Linked DNA regions of Drosophila melanogaster. Changing the gene in region 3 together with the main gene of any one other region gives a genetic interaction. Each region holds a gene or a part of one and is shown on either strand. Other genes may lie near its edges.

Region 1 (5,647 bases), on a different chromosome or scaffold from region 3:
CACGCGCAAATTGATGCTCAACAACAACACCATATATTTGATTTGTTTTATGTCATTTTTTCTATTTTTATTTTCATAAATTTGCATACACACGCAAGCGAAGCAGCCCACTGTCTCCGACAAAAAAAAATCACGCACACACAGAACCACACACGCATGCAAATAGCGAAAGAGAGCGAGGTGTCTGCGGCAGTGTGTGTGTGTGTTTCATTCATGAATCCAGATTTTGCCGAGGCAGGAGAACAGAAGAAGCAGAGTAAGCTGGTAACGAAGCAGAGGCAGCATTTCGGTTTGTCATTTGCAACAAGTGCGGAGAGGTTCTCTTGTACACATATTGTTGCTGCACTTATTGCATGCCCTTTTAGTTCTTTTTCGTTGCATTGTTTTATTTTTTCAATTTTTCTAAGCTTAGACAGAACGGCGGCAACGTCGACAGAAATAAGCTAAAGCTATATGGTATATATGCACCCACGGCCATAACAACGAGTAAAAAAAAAACCAAGATAGTTGGAAACCTCTGTGTTCGTCTGGCTCTATGTGTGTGTAAAAATATAAAAAATGCAGCAATGCATTCAACAGTTGATTCAAGAGAGAGCAAAAGGAAGAGAGAGAGCGGGCGGTTTGGTTGGCGAGAGAGCGGCGCTCAACAAGTTCGTTCGACGATCTGTTGCGCGGTTTCTACGGATGTGTGTGTGTATGCTGACGGGGGACGTGGGCACAGGGGTGTGGGTCAAAAGGGGTGGGGGGCTCTGGCCGATGTGGAAGGGGTATGGGGGAGGGCGGCGTGTGGAGTGGCAGTGCCAGAATGTCTGGCAGCCACGACTCTGGCGCACACACGCACACCATTCAAAGGTGCCTTTTGCACACGTGTGTGTGCGTGTGTGTATCTGTATGAGCAACTGGCAGAGCCAGCGAATTTGTAGCGCAGCCAGAAACAACAACACAACGCAACACGGCAACAGCAACCGCAGCCGCTAACAAACTGTGCTGCGACACAGTGGCACAAAAAGCTGCCAGCAAAGGGTTAAGTGTGGGCCTACTAATACATGTAAAAAACTAATTTTTGTAAACAGAATTTAAAAATGGTTTCCAAGTAGTGCGAACATTTGTCGACTTTGGGTTTATGTTTAAAACAATAATCTGTTGTTGGCAGATAGCTAACAATGTTTTAGAGATAGAAGAATTTGAAACGCGTTTCACTTATTGACTCGATGGCCTATAAATTGATAAAGGGTTTTTTAATTATTAAAGAAGAAGAAAATGTGTTATATTATCTCGCTGTTAAAAATGTTATCTTTTGATTTGTTCTATTCCATGTTTTTAGGTATCATATAATATTTTTTTTATTTTTTATATAAAAAAAAGCCATACGAATTGGTCCCACTGTGCGGTTCGCGGTGTTTGTCAGTTAGTCAGTCAGTCGGGTGACTGTGGCAATCGAAAAGAGTGGACAAAGACTGTGGCGCACAGGGACGGGGGAATGGGTTGCTCCGTCCCATGTTGTCCATTCGGTCCCACCGTGCACACAACTCAGCACAGCACGGCACAGCAGCAACAAAAGCGCCGCAAAAGGGAACTGGTATTATGGCATCCCGCTCGCACTTGCACTCCAAGCACGCACACATGCAAGCGCAGACACCTCGCGACACGATTGTCGTCAGTTTGTCTGCAATGCTCAGCTTCAGCGCCATGCGCTCTCTCTCTGTTGCTCGCTCTCTAGCTCCCCCTCTCACTCTCTCTCCCACTGCTGCACGCACACGAACACCCACACGAACAGCAGCAACAACAACAGCAGCGCACAGCAGACAGGCAGGCACTTTACGCCTGTGTGCGTGAGCATTTCAGAGTGAACCGCAGTCGACGGCGGCGCCGGCAGCGACGCCGGCCGAGGCGAGGCAGTCTAGAACGTATCTTCGAACTAGAACGCCGAGGGCAGAACAATTGTGTTTTGGATTCCTTGCCGTGCGGATCGCAAACGCGAGTTATGAGAAGAGCGTAGTAAAACGTACGAGAAGTAGCTAACAAGAAAAGGAAAAGAGCAGAAGAAGCAACAGCACGCAGACATATATTTTTTTTAACTGTGTTTTATTTATCCGATCTATACCAATCGAAATATACACAACTATATAGATTTGAAACGGATTTTGAAAAGTGCTTTCAAATAAACTCCAAAAAGTATCAGAGCGAGTGTGTGCCAGTGTGTGTATGTGAGACGCGTCGCAGTCGACGTCGCTGCTTTGGGGACAGAGCTGCCAGATCGCGAGTTATGAAAGCGCAAGCGTCGCACGCAAGTAGCAACAACAGCTACAACAAAAGCACCTAAAACTTACTACCTACTACTACTGCAAAACACACTTGTTTGACTATTATTTCGCTACATTAAAATCAACAAAAATACACACAAAACTGACCAGAATCTTGGGAAAATAAAAACAATCTTTAAAGAACGCCACGAAAATAAACCATAATCATGGATAGCAGCAGCGAACAGTTGAACGGATCGGGAGCTTTGAATTTCAAGCGGCCCAAGGATTCTTCGGAGAATGCCACAAACAGCCACACAAATAATGGCAATTCTTCGGGCAGCCCCAAAATGGGAAGTCGTCGGATTTTCACGCCCCACTTTAAGCTGCAAGTCCTCGAATCATACAGGAATGATAATGATTGCAAGGGCAATCAACGGGCCACGGCCAGGAAATACAACATTCACCGCCGGCAAATCCAAAAATGGTTGCAATGCGAGTCAAATTTGCGATCATCGGTGGCCAACAATCAGCAACAGCAGCAGCAGCAGCAACAGCAACAGCAGCAACAACAGCAGCAGCAGCAACTACTCCCACAGCAATCGGTATCGCCGACACCGGCGGTCAAGGTGTTCCATCAGCTGAGCCATCCGCTGGTGCACCAGTTGCATCACCATCACGCCGCCGCGGTGGGTCATCATCATCATCATGCCGCCCACCATCATGCCGCCCATCATCATCACGCTGCAGCAGCAGCGGCGGCAGCAGCAGCGGCAGCAGCAGCAGCAGCAGCCCACCATCATGCCGCCCACCATTTGCTGGCAGCCAATGGCATGGTTCCACACCCCCTGGCCGCCCATCCCCACTTGCATGTCCCGGTGGCAATGCATCCTCAAATGCAGCATCAGAAGGAGCAACAGCAGCAGCAGCAGCAGTTGCAGCAGGAGCAGCAGCAACAGGATCAGCAGCAGTCACAGCAGGAGACACCTGCAACCATTGCTACCAATGGCAGCAATCAGGGATCCTCGAATGTCCTTTCGGCGGCCAAAATAGCCGCTGTTGTTGCCGCCGCCATGGCCACCAGCAATGGCAATCCCACACCGACAGCAACAATCCCCGCCAGCAGCAGCAGCAGCAGCAACACATTGCCGAGCAGCAATAACAGTAGTTGCCACAACAGCAGCAGCAGCAGCAATAGCTGCAACAGCAACCAAGTGCCAATACAAGTGCCAATCCTGAGCGGATCCCCTGGGTCCACATCGTCAGCCAGTCACATTCCACATGTGCCCTTTGCCTACCATCACAATCTGCATGGCTATTTGGAGAATCGACTGGAGGCGGTTGCCACACCAGCCCCCATGGACCTCTCTCTCGGATCCTCTGCCCGCCGTCAAATGCAGTTGCACGAAAAGGATCCATCTGGTGTGGATCTCACTTTCCGCAAACGTAAGGTCATCACTAGTCCGATGCAGCCGGATAAGATTAGTAAGCTGGAGGAGGTGATCAAGAAGGAGCCCGAAACGGAAACGGAGAACGAGGATGTGGAGGTGGACGTGGAGACGGAGCAGCCGGAGGAGCACAAGCTGCCCTCTAAACAGGTCAAGCTATTTAAGCCCTATTTGCTGGACGATGATGAGGAGCAGGATCATCATCATCATCACCATCACCATCGGCAGGAGGATTTGGATGAGGGAGCTGCCGAGGAGGAGCAGGACGACGAGGAAGAGTCCCGCTATGCCGACGATGATGAGGTGGACTCCAAGGAGGCGGCCGACAAGAAACAGCGTCGCCTCAAGAAAAAGCCATCGGCAATCAACGAACAAAGGGAACCCATCATCTGGAGCAACCATCCGTATCCCGGTGGCTGTGTATCGCCCGGCAGTTCGATCACCAGCAGCTTTCAGTGCCCCACCAGTATGCAACAGCAGCAGACATTTCCCGTCGCCGGCGGGAGTCCTAATCAGCAATTTCAGGACAACTGCAGCTCCAGCAAAGCCACCACGCCCCTCAGCCCATTCTCGGCGCCCGCCCTCTCGCCCACCGGCTTCTGTTGCCCCAAAGGATCGCCCGTTTCCGGTTACGAGAGCAGCTCATCCACCTACAGCGACAGCGGCAGCAACTACAGCCTCAATCTCCAGCTGCATGCCGTCTACAACGACAATCTGATGTACATGCAACAGCAGCAGCAGCAGCAGCAACAGCAGCATCACCTGCAACATCAGCAGCACCTGCAGCGCTGGCTGGATCAGGAGTCCTTGGCCACTGCGAGGACATCATCCGTCAACCGACCACTGATTCTCGTGGCGGATACTGCGCCCACAAACCTGACCCTGGTGGCCTAAGAACACACACACACACACACACACACACACACACAACAAACAACACACACAATAGAAACTAAGGAAGCAGCAATCCCACCAATCGGATGTTATAATGGCAGTCACTGGGCCTGGCCTTTTAGTTCCCTAAGCCATATTTAAGCTTAATAACGTTTTTTTTAGCCCTACCACCTAAGTTTACCTTAATAAAAAATTGTATATCTAAGCGCAAACATATATCTTCCAAGCATATCAGCAAAAAAAACCCCAAACCCTAGGTATAAACCCTTCTTTTTTTTTTGGTTACACACTAAGAACAAATTAAGCTTAAGTTCAGATTTTTCTTTTTTTTTTTCTTGTATTAGCTTGTGTAAATAATTGTGTACAAAAAGTGAAACAAGGCGAAACAATTGAATTTGCTTAAGAATTTCAACGCTTCATTTCATTTGTATAACTTGTGGGAGAGTATTTTAAGAGAGAAAATGTGAAAAATGCAACTGGAAAAACTGAGAAAATTGTTAAGAGTAAAGCTTTAAAAACGAAACAAATACACACCTTTACAATACACACTTTTTTTATTTGGAAATTGAAAATTGAAAATTCTTGTGATATGACAACAACAAAACAAAATTTTAATAAAATTGTTGAAAACTGAAGCTTATTGAATATACAGCTATATTATACATAAATATATATTTACAAACACAAAAGAGAGCAAGAAATTTAACGTAATATTAAGGGTTACATTTAAAAGTTAATTATAATGATATACAATATACATATATACAATATATTTATATACAAACAAGAGGAGAACGTTTTTTTTTTTTTTTCATTGCCAAGGGAAATATTAAATGCGCCTATACATAGAGAAAGAGATATATATATCTAAATGTATGTATATATATAAAATCAGTATTTTTATATATTACATTTGACAACAACAATAATAATAATAATAATTGTGTGACCATACAACAAACAAACAACAAAATCAAAAGGAAAACGAATTGATTAAATTAACAACAGAAAACTAAAAAAACTTTAAATTAAACTGGTTTTATCATTGCATTTGCGTTGGGT
Region 2 (7,699 bases), 2.1 Mb from region 3:
TTACTACTCAACTTGCATACTACTCATAAATGTGCATCAATGTTCATAAACATTGAAATTATTTCAAATCAAGATGGAACTGAAAGCTATTTATTTGAAAGTAGTGTAGACCACCCACCACCGACTGGCAATTTTTTTCATTTTTGCGGAAAAGCGGTGGTGTCCCCGTGTTGACAGCTCAATTACTCACATGACACAAAGCCTCTGCGTGGCCCCCTGCAATTATCGCGGCAATTATTTGCAATTAGAATTGAGTTAATTTACTTAAAAAAGGATTTTCTGCCGTGCCTGCGCATTTTTGCCCCTTGACGTTTGCACTTCGGCACGTGTGTGTTTTGAGTTTTCCGCTTTTGTGCAATTTGCGTGCATAAATTTTTATTGTTCCAAAGGGACTACATAATTATTTTGTTATTTTTCGTCGTTTTCACTTCTGCTTTCGAGGAGAGTGCGCTTCATTACTATTTCGATTTTACTGCGACTGTATAATGCTACCCATGTTTGCAATAAGTTCGCGTTTAGTAGTGTTAAACACGCAATAAAAGCGAAGGGAGGGAGGAGCGATCGCACATAAACATGCTCGCATTCTAAGCACACGTACAGTCCGGGCCAAGAAAATAGGTTCGCTTGACTTCAATTCAAAAGATTTCGTAACGAAAAAACTTTAGTTTCGTTGCTTTACCCATTAAAAAAAATTGGCAGTGCATTTGCGAATAGAATTTCGATTTGTTTCCGCTTATTTTCGTACCGAAAACACTCTGCCGAAGGAGGGCTTCATCGAATTTTAGGTTCAATTACTCGCCGGTCCCACGCACGAAAAAATTCGTTGACGCTGCCTTCTCTTAAACTCCTCCCCTGAAACTACGTTCCCTTCATTTTTGTTGTGGTTGCGGTGGGGTGTTTACAGTTTGATTGTGGCTGTGGGTTGACGCCACCTCCAACACCACCAAAGGCCATGCACTGCAAACAAATTAGTGTGCATCTAAAAACAGCAATGTCTATTTAATTCGAAAAAGAGTTAAGTAAAAGAGTACTCAAATGTTAAATCTTAGTTCTTCAAGTAACATTGTTATTTGAAATACAAATGTTGCATATTTTTCTCGCCGTGTGATCTGCTGCACACAAACACGTTCGCGCTCACGTGCTGGCGCCCCCAACTGCAGATAGGGCATTTGATTTGTTTAAAACAAAACTTTCGTTGCCTGTATGGGTGTAGTGGTGTGCACTTGGCTGCCCCAAACGCACACTGAAACCAATTACGAGCACAGGAATACGAATACGAATACGTCACTCAGAGGTCTTCAGAAATCAGGGCTGCGGACTAGCTGGTGATAAAGAAGGGATTCAATAGGGATACATACACTAGATTTATACTCTCTTAGGGCTACAATAAGTACATTACTAAATAGATAAATATTAAGAAAATGGAATATAATAACTCAATTTTCCAGTCTTAAACTTATTAATAACTGTAGAAAGTAGTTTGTGTTACCTTTAGATACTTTAGGATGGACCTGCTGCTTCGCATCCCTGGCGAACTCACACCGATACACAATACGAATGCAGTTTGGGCTGCGTTCAGTTCGTCACTCACTCAGTCAGTCAGTTCGTCAGTCAGTCAGTCAGTCAGTCAGTCAATCAACACTCGGCGCACTCAGTTTGCTGGGCAACCCGTTCGGCATTCGTTGTCGATCGGTCGTGTCGTGCAGTTGACTTCTGATTCGCGCTCGCTGCCATTTCCACTTTGCGTAATTTACGGCGAAAATAAAAAATAATACGGCAAAAGGCTTAAATAAATGAAGTTATTACGGTGATAACGATTGAATTGAAGACTCGCAGCGGAAATGTAACTGCTGAGGCGACTGGATTGGATGCCCGATCGTCGTGGAGGGTCGCGTTTGCGATTTGCATACGAATAAAATAACATTTTGATGCTGAATTCTTGTCCGTGTGTGTGTGTGTGTTTGTGCGTGCAATAAAAATAAATAAAATAATATCTGCAATCTCAACATCATCATGTGTAGGTTCTTAGTTCGTACATAGTTCTCGTTTGCCTCGAGTTGCTCGATTTTTGAGTTTTCCTCCTCGCATCAAATCGAAACTTTGGCCTGTTTGGTTTTGGTCTTTATCGCGCTGCGTTTTTGTGTGTGCATTGTTTGTTTATTTTTAAACATGGGTCCAAGTCCCTATTTTCTCTGTCTGTTCGTTTTTTTCTTGTTGTTTTGTTGTTATTTTTGTGGCACTAGTCGTAGTACCCTTTACCACGCTTTTTGCCCGCTTTCAATGGCAGCGGAAGTGCTTCTGTACTTCTGTACTTGTGTACTTGCCATCCATCCACCTTGATTTCTACTTCTACCTGGCTCCCATGATTTACGCCTTATTGTCACTGCCGCATTTATGATTGATTATCGATTGGAATGGTATGATACGCATGCGCGAATGCGTGCCTGCCATAAAAGTGCCTCGATATCCTCGCTCCTCCGTTTCTCCAGTTGAGTTATGATCCCTGACTAGCGATGCACTGAAAAGAAACTCACAATGGAATCACTAACCAGAAGAATGTACACAGCCGATTTGAAATGCAATTCTTCAATTTAGTTACTCTAAATATAAGACTAAAAGTAGATTCACTTTAAACCAAGAACCATCAATTGAATTTGCTTTGAAAGCAATGAAGAACTTTCCTTCGAGTGTGGTTTTCTTGAAAGCAGAAAGAAGACTGGGCCACTTTGGGCGGGTACGTTGGGTACGTGATCTCAGCTCGGGTAATATGTAATTGCGAATTACGATTATTGATCTTTAATTGATATGGGGAATGTCCCATATGATAATGGATCATAAAGGACTTATTATATTTATATTTAGTATCGTTCAACTCGAGATGCATTGAGAGACAAAACAAGAAAATCGTTTAAGTGCCTAAAGAAAGCCACTTTGTTGTTTGGAAAACCATCAAATCTCCGAATAAACATCATAAATATGTTGAATATGTTGTTATGATCGTGTAAATAAAGTTTTTATGTAATTCCTGCGAATTAATGGGGTAGTTTCCCCTTTTGAAAACCGACTGATTATGTCGAAAACCTCACCTGCAATCGAGCTTTGCACAAACAAAACGGGGGCATTATCGAAATTTGTATGCCTGCCCCACTCAAATCAATCGAATTCCACTAGAGCACCATTGCCACCTAAAAACACACGACACTAGTCAGCTGGGTAAATACGTAGGGTAGAGTTCTCTATCTCCACTAACCCCCTCGATAAGTCTGTCCGCCAAGTGTCACTCCGTTTGTATCCTGAGTTACTGAGAAGGAGAGACCATGTGAACTGGTACTCCACTGTATGTTTAATTTTGGGATTAGTTATAAGCAAAGGTGTACCATTTTCGATAAGGTACCGATTGTTTGTTCGTAATCCTAATCTTTTGGAAGAGGTTTTTAAGCTAGTTTTGGTAATCAAAATGGTTGTGTGACTTATCATTAATTTCAATATATTCTTGTAGGCTAGTGATAAAGTTAGAGCATTCTTAGAGCAATATATCTACCGCCGGAGGCTCTGGTTGACTTTGGGCAATTAGAAAAGTGACTGCCCCCAACCACTGGTCCTCGTTGACCACGCCCCCTTCCATGGGCGACAACATAAAATTGTCAATGCTGCGAAAAAAAAAAGAAAACGGCAACGCCCCAAAATTTTTAGGCCCGAGTTGAGCGAGAAAATCGAAATTAATTCACGCAACGGCTAATTTGGCCAGAAATATGCGCCATTTGGTCTGTCGGGAGCCCAATCGAGAGGTGTTTTCTTGTTGTCCAAGTGCTGCACTTGTTGATTTATCGCCGGCATTTAATTGCTTTTGAAATTGGATTTACCAGCCCGTTTGCTTGCCACAAAAATGGGTGGTTCGCCTAGCAAGTTCGCCTTGTGTGGCTCGCCGATTTTTGCTCCAGCTTGCACAAATTAATTGCTACTACAAATTTTCATTCAATTAGGTTTTGTCACTTTTAAATTTAATCAAACATTTTTTGACACCTTGAGTAAAGCAACGAGATTGAGGCTAAGACAGCCAACTGGAGCGCAGCCACTTGGCCAACGGAGAGAAGTTCCTCAGAAATGCTGTTAACATTGAAATGTCATAATTCAAATGGAATTGTTGTCTTTGGTGGGGAAAAGTATGGAGGGGGGGGGGCGTAGAAAACAGGGGGGAATACCCACAATTGTGGCGCTGACAAGTCGAACACCATTTGGTTATCATTTGCGCTCATTATGAGATGCAGTTCTCGCCACTCGACTCGAATATTACTGCAGTACAGTGGAGCCTAACTAAATAGAATGAAGACAGTGGGTTTTTATTGCTATAGTTTAGTTTTTTCTGTTGATAAACCAATTTCTTAATGCCAATTTTCTAAGAATCGATAAGGCAGCCCGAAAACCAGCACATGAAACTATTATCTGTGCTTCATAAATTTACCTATTATTCATATATTTTTGCAGAATTGTTGTGTTCGAAAACTAATACTATTTATAACGTTGAAAAGTGCGAACTCTTTTCGTTCGCAACCTTTGTGGTTTTTTGGAATTCAAAGAACTGTCAGACCTCAAAAATACCCCCCTTACAATAGAATCGTTTCACAATTGACGTCAGCTGCGATTGAATACGAACAATAACCATATTTAATAGATAAAAATAAGTTTCCAACGAAATCGAGATTCGATTAATCAGCTAGTTGGTTAAGTGAAGCAATAATGGCCATTATTCTCAATGAGAAAATGTTGCAGGCAATTTGCATGCAATTGGCCGCCAACATTGAAAGTGGGAGGAGTCCGTTCATGACAGGAACCTCCCAACGACTTCATTCACTAGCCAGAAACACGATGCACTGCCAGGCCCCATGGATACTCACTCCTCCTCCAATTTCTGCTGGGCACTTGGCCAAGCGGGTAAAGACACTCGAAGAAAAAGGGTCACATAAGTTGCTGACTTCCCCTTTTGTTACGTATAAACATTTGCTTGAATTAGATGCAAAGTTTTCTATAACATTTCTCTCAGTGCATTCGAATTTTGCATGCGTTGTGTTGTGGGCGTTGCTGAGACAATCTAAGCTCGATGATGAATGCCTGCAATTCTATTTGTATTTATTATTTATATTTGCTTTTTACTTGCTCTTTTCACAGACTATCCGCCCGCTGATAGTTATACCGGTTATCGGGTGACTCCACCCCAAATCAACGGCGGCACCACCACCACCACCACCATCAGCAGCGGCAGCAGCAACAACAACAACATCCACCACATCAACAATAACAATAACCACATCTGCAGCAGTGGCAGCAGCAACAACCTCAATTTGACGACAGCAATCAGCGGCAGCAGCAACAGAATGGACACCGACGATGTGGAATCGAACACAAGCAGCGCGATGTCCACACTGGGCTCGCTATTCTCCTTCACATCGCCGGCGGTGAAGAAGCTGCTGGGCTGGAAACAGGGTGACGAAGAGGAGAAGTGGGCGGAGAAGGCCGTCGACAGTCTGGTGAAGAAGTTGAAGAAGCGCAAGGGCGCCATCGAGGAGCTGGAGCGTGCGCTCTCCTGTCCCGGTCAGCCCTCGAAGTGTGTCACCATTCCACGCTCGCTGGACGGACGATTACAGGTGGGTCACAAGCCACATGGCCAGCTAAGTAACAGATGATTATTAACTCCTATTTCCGAATATCAGGTCTCCCATCGCAAGGGTCTGCCGCATGTGATCTACTGCCGCGTGTGGCGCTGGCCAGATCTGCAGTCGCACCACGAACTGAAGCCACTCGAGCTGTGCCAGTATCCGTTCAGCGCCAAGCAGAAGGAGGTGTGCATCAATCCGTATCACTATAAGCGCGTGGAGAGTCCGGTGCTCCCGCCAGTACTCGTTCCTCGCCACTCGGAATTCGCGCCCGGTCACTCGATGCTGCAGTTCAACCATGTGGCCGAGCCCAGTATGCCGCACAATGTGAGCTACTCGAACAGTGGATTCAACTCGCACAGCTTGAGCACCAGCAACACATCGGTGGGCAGTCCGAGTTCCGTCAACTCCAATCCCAATTCGCCGTACGACAGCTTGGCGGGAACACCGCCACCCGCCTACAGTCCCTCGGAGGATGGCAACTCCAACAATCCGAACGACGGTGGCCAGCTGCTGGATGCTCAGATGGGCGATGTTGCCCAGGTTAGCTATTCGGAGCCCGCCTTCTGGGCGTCGATAGCCTACTACGAGCTAAATTGCCGCGTGGGCGAGGTGTTCCACTGCAACAACAACTCCGTGATCGTTGACGGTTTCACGAATCCTTCCAACAACTCGGACCGCTGCTGTCTCGGCCAGCTGAGCAACGTGAACAGGAATAGCACCATCGAGAACACACGCCGTCATATAGGTGAGTCGATTTTAGCACTTAAATTAACTTACTCACAGAGATTTCCCATCAGCAACTATCTTAAAGTGGTTAATAACTAAGATTACACATTGGTAATCTTAAATTAGAAAGCGACTTGTGTTTATCAGTTATAAAAATAGGCATTGAGTAGAGTAGAAAGCTATGGACTTCAAGAATCCAACTACCTGTCTTTTTAACTCAAAATGTTTCTTCTTCCCCAGGCAAGGGTGTTCATTTATACTATGTGACCGGCGAGGTCTACGCCGAATGCCTATCCGACTCCGCCATTTTCGTGCAGTCGCGCAACTGCAACTACCACCACGGATTCCATCCGAGCACCGTGTGCAAAATACCGCCGGGCTGCTCGCTGAAGATCTTCAACAATCAGGAATTTGCTCAGCTGCTGTCGCAGTCGGTGAACAATGGATTCGAGGCCGTCTACGAGCTGACAAAGATGTGCACGATCCGGATGTCGTTCGTGAAGGGCTGGGGTGCGGAGTATCATCGCCAGGATGTGACCTCGACGCCCTGTTGGATTGAAATCCATCTGCACGGGCCGCTCCAGTGGCTGGACAAGGTGCTCACCCAAATGGGCTCTCCGCATAATGCAATTAGTTCGGTATCCTAAGCTTAAGATGAGGCTCGAGTCCTCAATGGAGACGGAAGAGAAGGAACACAAAACCGGTAGCTAAATGATGAGTGCGTGTGAGTGAAAGCTAAGTGTGAAAAGACGTAGAGAACACAGGACAATGGAGAGAGCATAGGTCTGTAGGCCTGAGGATGGAGGTCCATGCCACTCAGTCGCAGATTTATATAGATGATGTACGGCAGCTACTCCAATACCCGCCCTTTGCCCATATTTTATAGTTTATCGTATGATTTTCTATGCGAATGTCATTCCTAACGCTAAAACAGAGTAATGAAAATGGACAGCGAGCTAAGAAACCAATTACAAAATGGTATAACTATTTACAATGATCTACATGCTATAATATTAATGATCTATGCCCATTGGCAAAACAGTTCTTGTTCAAGTCTATTTCAAGTGCTAATTATGTGTCATTGCAAAACTGCTTTAAATATAAAAACACATTGAATTAATCCTACCAACTTTAATTACATAAGGAACAAGTAACTTACGTAGGGATATGAAAACACTTATTGCAATACATTTCTTAAAATGATTTTGAAGAAGCCCTAGCTTATGTTTTATTTTTCTCATTTGCGGTTCGCCTTGGATCAACGAATTCAATGTTCAATATAGTTGATTTAAATATATATATGGTTTAACTAATTTTAA
Region 3 (4,763 bases):
ACTGCGAGAAATTATTATGGAATTGTATAAGTGGTAGGGAAGTTCCATCATATAAAACAAGTGCATATGGCACGTTAAATGCAAGTCGAAAATTGATTTTTTAAAGTGTGTATGAAATGAGGCCCAGCTGCAATCAGCGGGCCAACTTGTTGTAAACAAATTGAAGTGGCACTCAGTGATCCCCTGCTCCGCCGCTCTTCTTCTTGTGTTGGCCATTACCAATTGCACTCGGGTTCAACCCTTACCCTCGACCATTCCCCATACCCAATTCCCTGGGGATCGAATTGGATGGGATTGTATGGACGGAGTGGTATAGGATGGTATGGCATGGGGACGTGCCTTCATTAGGCCATGCAGAGCGCGTAGGCAGAATGTGTAAACACACATCGATTTCCATTCCGAATGCGTCTCGTGTGCTATGCGTAATTTTAATTGATTTCATTTACGCATTTTTGACTAATGTTCACACGCCGATGCATCGGACTGGCGGGGGGTGCAGCTCATTTAGCATGGACTCGGCGCGTTGATGGACAGAATCCAACTCCAAATGGCTGCATCGGGGAATTTATTTTTGGCCCTATCGTCCCACTCTCGCATCCGCCGTTCGCCTGGTTTTCCCCACCCAGAAAAAAAAAAACCCAAAATCTGTAACATAAATTTCACTTTGATCTATTTTTGAGTGGCCAATGCAAGTTTGCTAAATTCTGTTCAGCAGAAGGAATATTTAAAATTTTTAATTGCTACTAGAGTGCGCGCACTCAGCGGCGACGACCCAGTTTCAAAACATCTTTGCTGGCCAGAATCTCGACTGGGTTAGGGGATTTCTAATGGTGGTGAAAAGGAGGGAGCACTAATCTCTAGATAGCATTTTTATGTTACGAAATATACAGTTTTACTCTAATTAATGTGTGTGACACATACTATTTTTAGCCATCTTCATGCATAAGCATCTTATAAAACAGCAAAAACATGGTATTACATGTAGGAAATGTGATTCACTTTCGCTAAACACAACTTTAAACGCACCCCCACTTTGCTAATTGCCCATTTTGGCTATCGTAACTCCTATTTTACTTCACTTTTGATTGCCTTGGGGTTTTCTTCCCCATTCTGCCATCAATCTCCAAGTTGACATCCCAACCACGAGCGATTTGGAAAGAAACGTGTGACTTACCGAACGATAAACTGAAAGTAAACCTCCAAGTTGCCTGGGCCATCAATCAATCAGTCACTTAATATGAATATGAAAATATGAACCCGAACCCACAACAAATGCAATGTGGGTTTATCTGGCGTACATTCGCCATTCATTATTCATTGTGTGTTTTTCCTCTCGCCAGCCAAGTTTTCTTATCTCAGGCAACAATGTTGGCCGCGTTTTTCTTTGGGCCACTGTAAGTGCAACTTGAAAGGCGATTTTTAGGCCATTTTTGCAGTAAATGTAGCAGTACTTGAAGCATTTTGTAGTTGGACAAGGTTCAATGAGCAGGCAAACCGCTGAAAAGCCCAGTTACCCAGACCACACCCAATTGATTTTCACTCACTGACCATCTGAGAGATGCGTTTATGACACCAATCGACTTGAAATTTAAACAAGCAATATTTTAGATACATAAGCATGCCTTGACTTTACAATCAGTTGTTTTATATATTTTGCTTGTAACACACTTTTGATAACATGAAGAAAATTTACTGTGTGAAAAATTGTGAAAAACTTATTTAATGTATGGTTCGTATAAGGTGCCGTCCTAGTGCTTCTTGCGACCCTGGCAGAGAGATTGATGCGCCTTCAGCTGGTGGCCCTTGAACTCCAGGCCACATCTGGGACAGCCGACGGTCTGTTTGAAGAGATTGCACTAGAGGCGCTGACGCGGAGTAAGTTCGTCCTCGCTGGACAGCAGAGTAGTCGAGTTGCTGTTCAGCTCTGTGTAACCGGAGCTGCGAAGAATTCGCTTTGATGAATTTGATTTCGATTTGGTGCAGCGTGATGTGGAAGATCCCGAGGAGGAGAAACGGGTGTCCAAGTCCTTTGAAGTAAACGATGGCGGTTCCAAGCACACCATAATGGTACCGCGCTTCATTTTCTCAAAGCAAATGGGACAAGATACGATGTCGTTGTTGAGCAAGTGGGCTGCACGGTGTTCTTACGCTGCAAGTCTTTCATCAGGATGTCTTCTCCAAAAACATCGTCAATAATGGATTGATCAGCTAGTTCCGTGGCGGCTGTTAAACTGTCATTTGCCGGCCGCCTCATAATCGATTGAAAGGGTATTGACCTCGCACAAGGTCAATTCATCCTCCATTATCTAGCGCTTGATGTTCTGCGTGCGCTCCTGACTGCTCATGGTGTTCCTGCAAGCTGGCATCTTTAGCTCATCCTTTGACTGCGCTGCTTCTGTTCATCAATTTTCTTCATTTTATGTTATTAAAAAATATGTTACTATATGGAAGTGTTTGAATTTACATTAGAATAGCCTACTATGTTTTCGACCTAGTGTCATAGAGGCCTAACATTTTTGCCATTTGGCTGGGAGCCATTCAATTCGTTTGCCATGCAGTCGGCATTTGCTTTTATTTCTACGTAATTGCGAATCTTTTGAAGCGATGCGAACTATATCATCGCAGTACATTTTCCTACCCGTATGCATATTGATTGATAGCCAATTTGCACGTGCTCCACTTTGTGCCTGGGTTTTGCTTATTGTCGCCATGTTCTGCCCATACGAAATCAGTTCCCCTGGTCGCAGTTCTTTGGCTGCACCCACATGGATTGTCACGTTTGTGTTTTGTTTTGCTTTTGAGTTCTTGGAAATGTGTCGAACACAAGAGCCGCGAGTTTTCCACCCAGCAATTTGCAATCTTTGATAGATGGCTTATGTAACTGCCAGAGAGTGTAAGGCACAACACAACACAACACCAAAGTGGCGAAAATATTAGACGCGTCGGGGGAATTACGTCGTTTGGTCTGCGGGTTTCGAGTCGACAAGTGCAAGGCACTCAATCAATTAGCGATAGTCGATAGCCATAGACATGGGCTTTATCAATGCTTCGGTTAACTTCGTGGTTGCACTGGAAAATATTCGAAACTAAGAGGAGTTAGAAAGTCAAATTTTAGCAAGGCACTTTCAGCTAACAAATATTATATTGCTTCTTAAGTGTTGCAAAACTAAAAAATATCGCAAACCCCCTATCGATATCATTGAACTTTTTTTTTATTAATAATGTTTTTATTACTGTGTATAGCGGTTTCCCATAATTTACACCACTCATGTTACGCTAAAGTTTTATTGAGTTCCATTAATTTACGACTTTCTATGGTCGTAATTAAGATTATCCTTTGCTCGCGCTCCGCAATTGCCGCCGATTTTCCATGAATGGCAGCTTTTTATCGGACCTGCACTCGCATAATTCATTTTATCATTTTGACAGATTCGGAATGGAATAGCGACTTTCCTCGCCCACCCAACACGCGTACGAGATTTCAATTGCCCGTCGAGTGGCACACATATATTATACCAGCTCTCGAAATGAGACGCATCATAAATAATAACTAATGTTTTGATAAGACCCCAATGAGCGCCAACCACTTTTTCTGTTTATCAAATTACGTATGAAGTTTGCTCATTAATTTTGGCAAAGTGAGTGTAGGGGAAACATGGGTAGTGTAGCACACAGAAACCCCTGCAGGAGGCCTAACCCCTTTCGCTGAGATTGGGTCTGAGTCGCTTCCGCTGATTTGCACTGAAAGTTGCACAGTGGGGTTTTTGCACCTCGGTTTTGTATCTCGAGAAAGGGGGATTTCTTGGTCTTCAAGTCGCGCTCATTGCGTGGGCTTTGAGCCGTCGAGGAACGTCATCCTCCAAGTCTGTGGCGTGCAGACGACAGAACTAGACGTAATCTCGGCGAGCTGTCAAACAGTATCTTAAAGATGCCTCTCCGACTACTTGGCTGGCAACTGGTTCTGAACGCAGCCGTCTGCGGAGAGGCACTAAATTCTGCGGCCTTTTGACCAAGTTTATGACACACGTTTAGCTGTCTAGTTGGCCCACGCTCATCCGCTTTCAGCAGGAAGAGAGTTGAAGTTGCCCATTCTCCGTTGGTGCGACTCCCCTTTTCCTCTCCATCGCCCCTATGTGTTTCTATTTTCAATTAAGATCTCGTATTTCAGGCGCCCGACAAACGGGCAATTGTTGTTGTTAAATTATTAATTGACATTTGCCTGGCGCCACAGAAGAGCAACTCAAGTGCCAAGACTCCCACCCGCTCTCCCTTTTTTTGTTTACAAATTAGTTACACAGTTTTTCAATTTACTTATATTTCGTATTGCCCGTTTTTCTGTTTGCCCCGTAGGTGAATTCAGTGCGAATGTTCAGCCAGACGTCGAAGCTATGGCCGCCGCCGCTTTGAGTGGCATGGAAATGGGATCTGGACCAGGATCAGAGGGATATGAGGATGCCGACAACGAGAAAAGCAAGACCGTGGAAAATGGTGAGTCTACCATCTTAATAAAATGATTTAAAAAAGCGTGTTATAAATCAGCATCGAATATTTTGCATATCTTATCTTATTTTATCTTATATATAATATTAGTTCGGATTAATATAACTTATGATCATAACACTCGGATGTATAGATCAACAGCAAGTTTATATTTTGAATTTGGCGACCTAAGTTCAACATCCTCGATAGTATAGTGGTTAGTATCCCCGCCTGTCACGCGGGAGACCGGGGTTCAATTCCCCGTCGGGGAGATGTGTAAATAA
Region 4 (4,764 bases), 2.7 Mb from region 3:
GATGGGCCATTATGGGCATGTCCTCGCCATCGCCATTCAGTTTGCCCAGCACAATGTCCGCTTCGATGAAGTCAATGCCACCTTGGGCAGGGAAATGATACTATTGATAAGTTGGTTACACGCGCATATTTGGCCAATGATCTTACTGGTTTCGGTTAGGACCTCGTCCAGCAATTGCTGGCTGTTGACGGCATGGGCCCAGGTAATGGCAGTGAGATTTGTGCCCCATACCTTCATCATATCCGACTGTTTGAGGAATATATATTCGATCTGGGAATCGTCTGGCGCTGTCTGCTCGACCACCACTTGGTACTGATAATTGCTGGCGTTCAGAGCAGACCCATTGATTTTGGCCACGAGCACTGCGAGTGGACGTGAAATAGACGGCATTAATATTCCACAATTGGACAATGGGACGCACAGAGGGCATAATATGGCAGATACGCGTAGATAAGCCCATTTGCCTTCCTTACCACCCTACCAGCGAGAATTGATACGCAAACACATGCAATCCAATCCAATGTGAATTTGTTTACTTCGCAATGAGCGTGTACATATGTATGTGTGCGCGAATGGACTCTAATTAACTCCCTTTGTTATGCGATTTTTATGGAATGCAAAGCGCGTTGTGCCCTTCTTCCGCTTTCACCGAATGCTGCAATGCAACTGCACATCAATAATTCTCTTCAATCTGTCAGCTGTGCAATGGCGCAAGCGTAGAGAGCAGACGTGAAGTGAGAATGGCGAGAAATGTGCTTAACTTCAAGAGACCGACGCTCATATACCCTAGCTCTAAGAGTTTACATGACAACTTATTGACAAAAAATAACAAAATGTTGCTATTTTACGTTTTACCCCCTTTTTGCGATTGTGTAAATGTATTATCAAGTAATGTTACCCAACACACTCGTCAGATTTAAATGTTTTAATTGAGTACAGGAGCATCGACTATCAGATACCTGTTAGTTTTTTTAAGTTATGTCAAAACTAAACTGTCTGGATCCTAATGTTTCCAAGCGACCCAGGGGTCGTATGTACATGAGTTAAAAACATTAAAAAATGATGATATGTAATGATTTTGAAAAGTGCAAAAATACGAATTACCAAATAGTAGCGTTGTAAGTAGAAAGGTAATTTTTGAGTCCATTTTTTCTATAGGTCTAAGGGCACTTGATCATGAACTTGGGACCGCCACGGTTAGAAACGAACTAAATGGCAATTTTTCAGTTTGGCTTATCGATAGCATTTGCTGATTTAATTAAACATTGATTAAGTATTGTAAATTGGTAGTGACAATCTATCCGCATATCCCAAAATCTAATCTTTTAAGTGGTCACGTTATCCGATGAACTCGCGGACTAGTTAAACTAGTTACTACATTATAAAGAAGAAAGAACAAACAAACGTTTTTATGGAAATTATTACCACACATCTTGTAAAATCATATATTTCATTAAGTACGATTTACATTTATTTGCTTATTAAAAGATAAAATGTTATTTAAATAAGTTTAGACCGCGGTCTCTGTTAGAAAAGCGTTGCATTTTAACATTTCTGTTAAATGAGCAGCAGTAATAGAAGAGAAAACGTAAGAGAGCGGTTCAAAGAGCGGCACTAGAGTGACCATGCGGCGGTACACAAGAAATGCGGCCAATAAGCGAGAGCACAAACTTTACCGAAACGAGCGCTAGAAGAACTGGCCACACTACACCCCCGACACTCAGTTTTAGTTCGAAAATTTAACGGCTCTGGAACCGTTCGGACGTGTCGCTCTCGGTGCGCGTGTGTGTGAGTGGCGAATATAAATATCGGGGGAAAAGCTCGCACGTGCGACGCTTGCGAAAAAAAAAATTGAAAATATATAGTAAAATTGTTGTTTTATTTATGAGTCGAACTAATGTCCCGTCAGTTGACTAAGGACAACGCCAAGAAATAAAAAATAGTTTTAGGAGAAATAGTTTCACGACTTTATTCTTTGGATCTCAGCTTAAGACTAAAAATCAAATGCAAATTGGATTGAGGAGAAGCCTCAGTATTTGAACAATATTTGTATTTCGGGAGAGCCTCGCTCTTGGGTTCTTAAGATTAGGTAGCGTTGAAAGAGGGCAGTCAAATCTGCTTAGGTCAGGCTTTAGGATGTTTACAAGAACGGCTGCGCTGCCAAAGATAAACGAATGCTGCGCAGCTGGGATACGTTATGGAAAATTACTAGAGTGCATTACTGATTTCTTTGAAATAATGGAAGTGGCTGGTTTGGACCACCCAAATACGTCACTCCCCTTCCCTTAAAGAGAAGCCTATACTTGGGCTGGGATTGATGGATATAGTGTGGGAAATGGAGTTTCTTCTATTTCTGTTTGTTGTGGTGTGTTTTGATTTTGATTTTTTCTTATTTTAAGTTTTGCATACAGCATCATAAATGGTTTAAATGATACATATCTTAAATATGAGTACAACAAAATTAGTGCGATTATTACAATGATCATTTGTATGTAAAGTGTAATATTGTTCTCTGAAATCATCTCAACAATGTCGTTGTGTTTTACAATTTTTATTTTTGTTATATTAAGTGGTGTGTATAGTGATGTCAAATCTATTTCTGGTTCTAACAGATTTTCACTTAAAATTATATTATTGATTTCTATTTTGCATTGCGTTACTCTTATCATTTTGTTTCCTTCTATTTTTATTTTATTAATTGAATTTTGGCAATTTTGGTTAAGAATTGTTTGGGTTAAGTTCCAGGTTACAATTGTGTTTGGTTCTATGTATTTTATTATTTCGTTCGTGTGTACTGGCTTAAAATTACAAATTGGATTTAAGTGTTTAATAATATTGGTGACACATTCATTTTTTACTTCTTTATTTTCGGTATTATAAACTTTATTTTCTTTTTCAAAATATGATTGTGTGTCTGTGTAATCTAGCTGATAGCCGTTGGAGTCTGGGTAAGGAATTATTTTAATTGTGCTTATTAGTGAAAGGTAAATGGGTATGTGGGATATGATTAATACTTGGTTATCATTGTAGTTAATCCAAGTGGATGTTTTAATGTTCAAAATGTTTTGGCTGTTCACATTTTCAAGTTTGTCGTAGTTTAGTAATTTGGGGTTAAACAGTCCAAGTCTGGAAAGCTGCATAGCCATTTCCAAATCTTCTATGTATTCCGTCATTTATCAATCGTATGGCGTCGTTGAGTTCATGTAATTTTACTGAGTTATGGACGTTGATTTCAAGTTTTTTCTGTATTTCGACTCGATCATTTTCATCTAGTGTTCCAAATAGGTATTTAAAACCTGAACCCACAATGTTAATAAGACCCCGTTTGTTTCTATGTTTCAGGGTTATTCCGGCTAGTTCTCTTTTTATTTTATTGTATAAAAAATTGATCTGGGGTGCATGGTAATCGGTTCGTAGTCTTTGCTCAAAATAGTCAACCACGATGTCTATTTCAGTTAAATTGATTTTTAAGGAGTGATGTTCAAAGGAGGATGGTATCTGTACTGGCTTATCAGAAAAAAGGAGGTATCCGTGGTTGGTGTCAATATTATTAATTTGAATTTGTTGTCCATGAACAGCTGTGATCAGTATAAACAATAGTGTTATCGGGTACCAGGTGCCTGTGAAATTGAGAGTTTATTATTTTTCTTTTGTTTTTTGAATTGTGTTTTGTAGTAGTGCGTAACTCTATTTCTATTAGTGATTTTGTAATGGTCAGGGTCTGTCTGTTCTACATTTTTGGTTGGTTTAAATGGGTTTTCTAATTTGCCTTTCTGTAGTGGACCTTTTCTGTAATTAGTGTCAATATTAAATTCCTGTCTGTCTTCATTTATTTTGTCTATTTTCTTCTCTTTAATTTTTTGAGTGTCTAATATGGGATGCCCAGCGTATAAGAAAATTTGAGCAGGTGTCTGTCCAGTAGTGTCATGTTTAATTTTATGGTTGTATGTGTAGAGGATTGTTTCTATCTTGCTTAATTTTACTTCTTCATCATCAGATGAATTGATTATACGAATTTTTTCATTTATTGTTTTGTGTAATCTTTCGACGTCTGCTACCCCGTTTTTTGCTGTATTGAGCTGTAATTCGACTTCTTCTTCTTCAAGCCATCGCTTTAAAGCTAAACTGGAGAAAGCTCCGTCTCTGTCTGCCTTTAATAATTTGGGTTTACCTAGTTGATTAAAAATGCGCATTAATGCGTTTCTGCATTCTATCCAATCCTTAGTTTTAATTTGCTCAAGTGTAGCGAATTTAGAATAAATATCAATGCAACTGATGTAATGTTTTCCCTCAGATGAATAAATATCTACTACAAATTTTTCTCGGCAATGTTCCGGGTTGGGTGTGATTTTTAAAGGCATTTTGGTGTTTCTATGTTCTGTTTTGGCCAAATTGCATATGTTGCATTCGTTTATTATATTCTGAATTAATAGTTGGCTATTTGGAAAGAAGTGATTTTCTTTAAATAATTTTGTCATTTTCTGTATACCAGGGTGTAAAAGTTTTTCATGTGATTGAAGTATGATTTCTTTGAATTCGGCGTATGAACCAACGTTCTTTAATAGGAAAAGACTGCGAATTACTTTTGTGTAGGTGGTATTAACAATTTCTATGTGTGCTCTTTGAATAATTTCAAAATCTACATCGCTCTCAATATAAATGGTAATGTTTCTATGGATAAAGTGATCGAGTAAAATTTGTTTGGCCTTTTCAAGTGTCATTACATCATATTGAATTGTGGTAATGGAGTTACCGAATATTTTT

What was found.
Region 1: of tkv (region 3) and brk, changing one suppresses a phenotype caused by changing the other (phenotypic suppression), as found in Drosophila melanogaster (2 studies listed by BioGRID).
Region 2: of tkv (region 3) and Mad, changing one suppresses a phenotype caused by changing the other (phenotypic suppression), as found in Drosophila melanogaster (3 studies listed by BioGRID).
Region 4: of tkv (region 3) and Snoo, changing one suppresses a phenotype caused by changing the other (phenotypic suppression), as found in Drosophila melanogaster (3 studies listed by BioGRID).

Annotation. Positions count from the first base shown.
Region 1 is NC_004354.4:7,306,003-7,311,649, forward strand, and holds brk (brinker), read left to right. Parts: upstream 1-1,936; 5' UTR 1,937-2,470; coding exon 2,471-4,585; 3' UTR 4,586-5,130; downstream 5,131-5,647.
Region 2 is NT_033779.5:3,146,747-3,154,445, reverse strand, and holds the start of Mad (mothers against dpp), read left to right. Parts: upstream 1-1,692; 5' UTR 1,693-2,013; coding exon 2,014-2,017; intron 2,018-5,166; coding exon 5,167-5,642; intron 5,643-5,708; coding exon 5,709-6,399; intron 6,400-6,620; coding exon 6,621-7,027; 3' UTR 7,028-7,699.
Region 3 is NT_033779.5:5,241,094-5,245,856, reverse strand, and holds the start of tkv (thickveins), read left to right. Parts: upstream 1-1,717; 5' UTR 1,718-1,781; coding exon 1,782-1,875; exon of another isoform or gene 1,876-3,158; intron 3,159-3,236; exon of another isoform or gene 3,237-3,638; intron 3,639-4,350; coding exon 4,351-4,488; intron 4,489-4,679; exon of another isoform or gene 4,680-4,751; intron 4,752-4,763.
Region 4 is NT_033779.5:7,981,151-7,985,914, reverse strand, and holds the start of Snoo (Sno oncogene), read left to right. Parts: upstream 1-1,718; 5' UTR 1,719-1,784; exon of another isoform or gene 1,785-1,969; intron 1,970-4,764. Other genes in the region: CG7231 (uncharacterized protein), read right to left, coding at 1-81, 147-362, 1,105-1,147.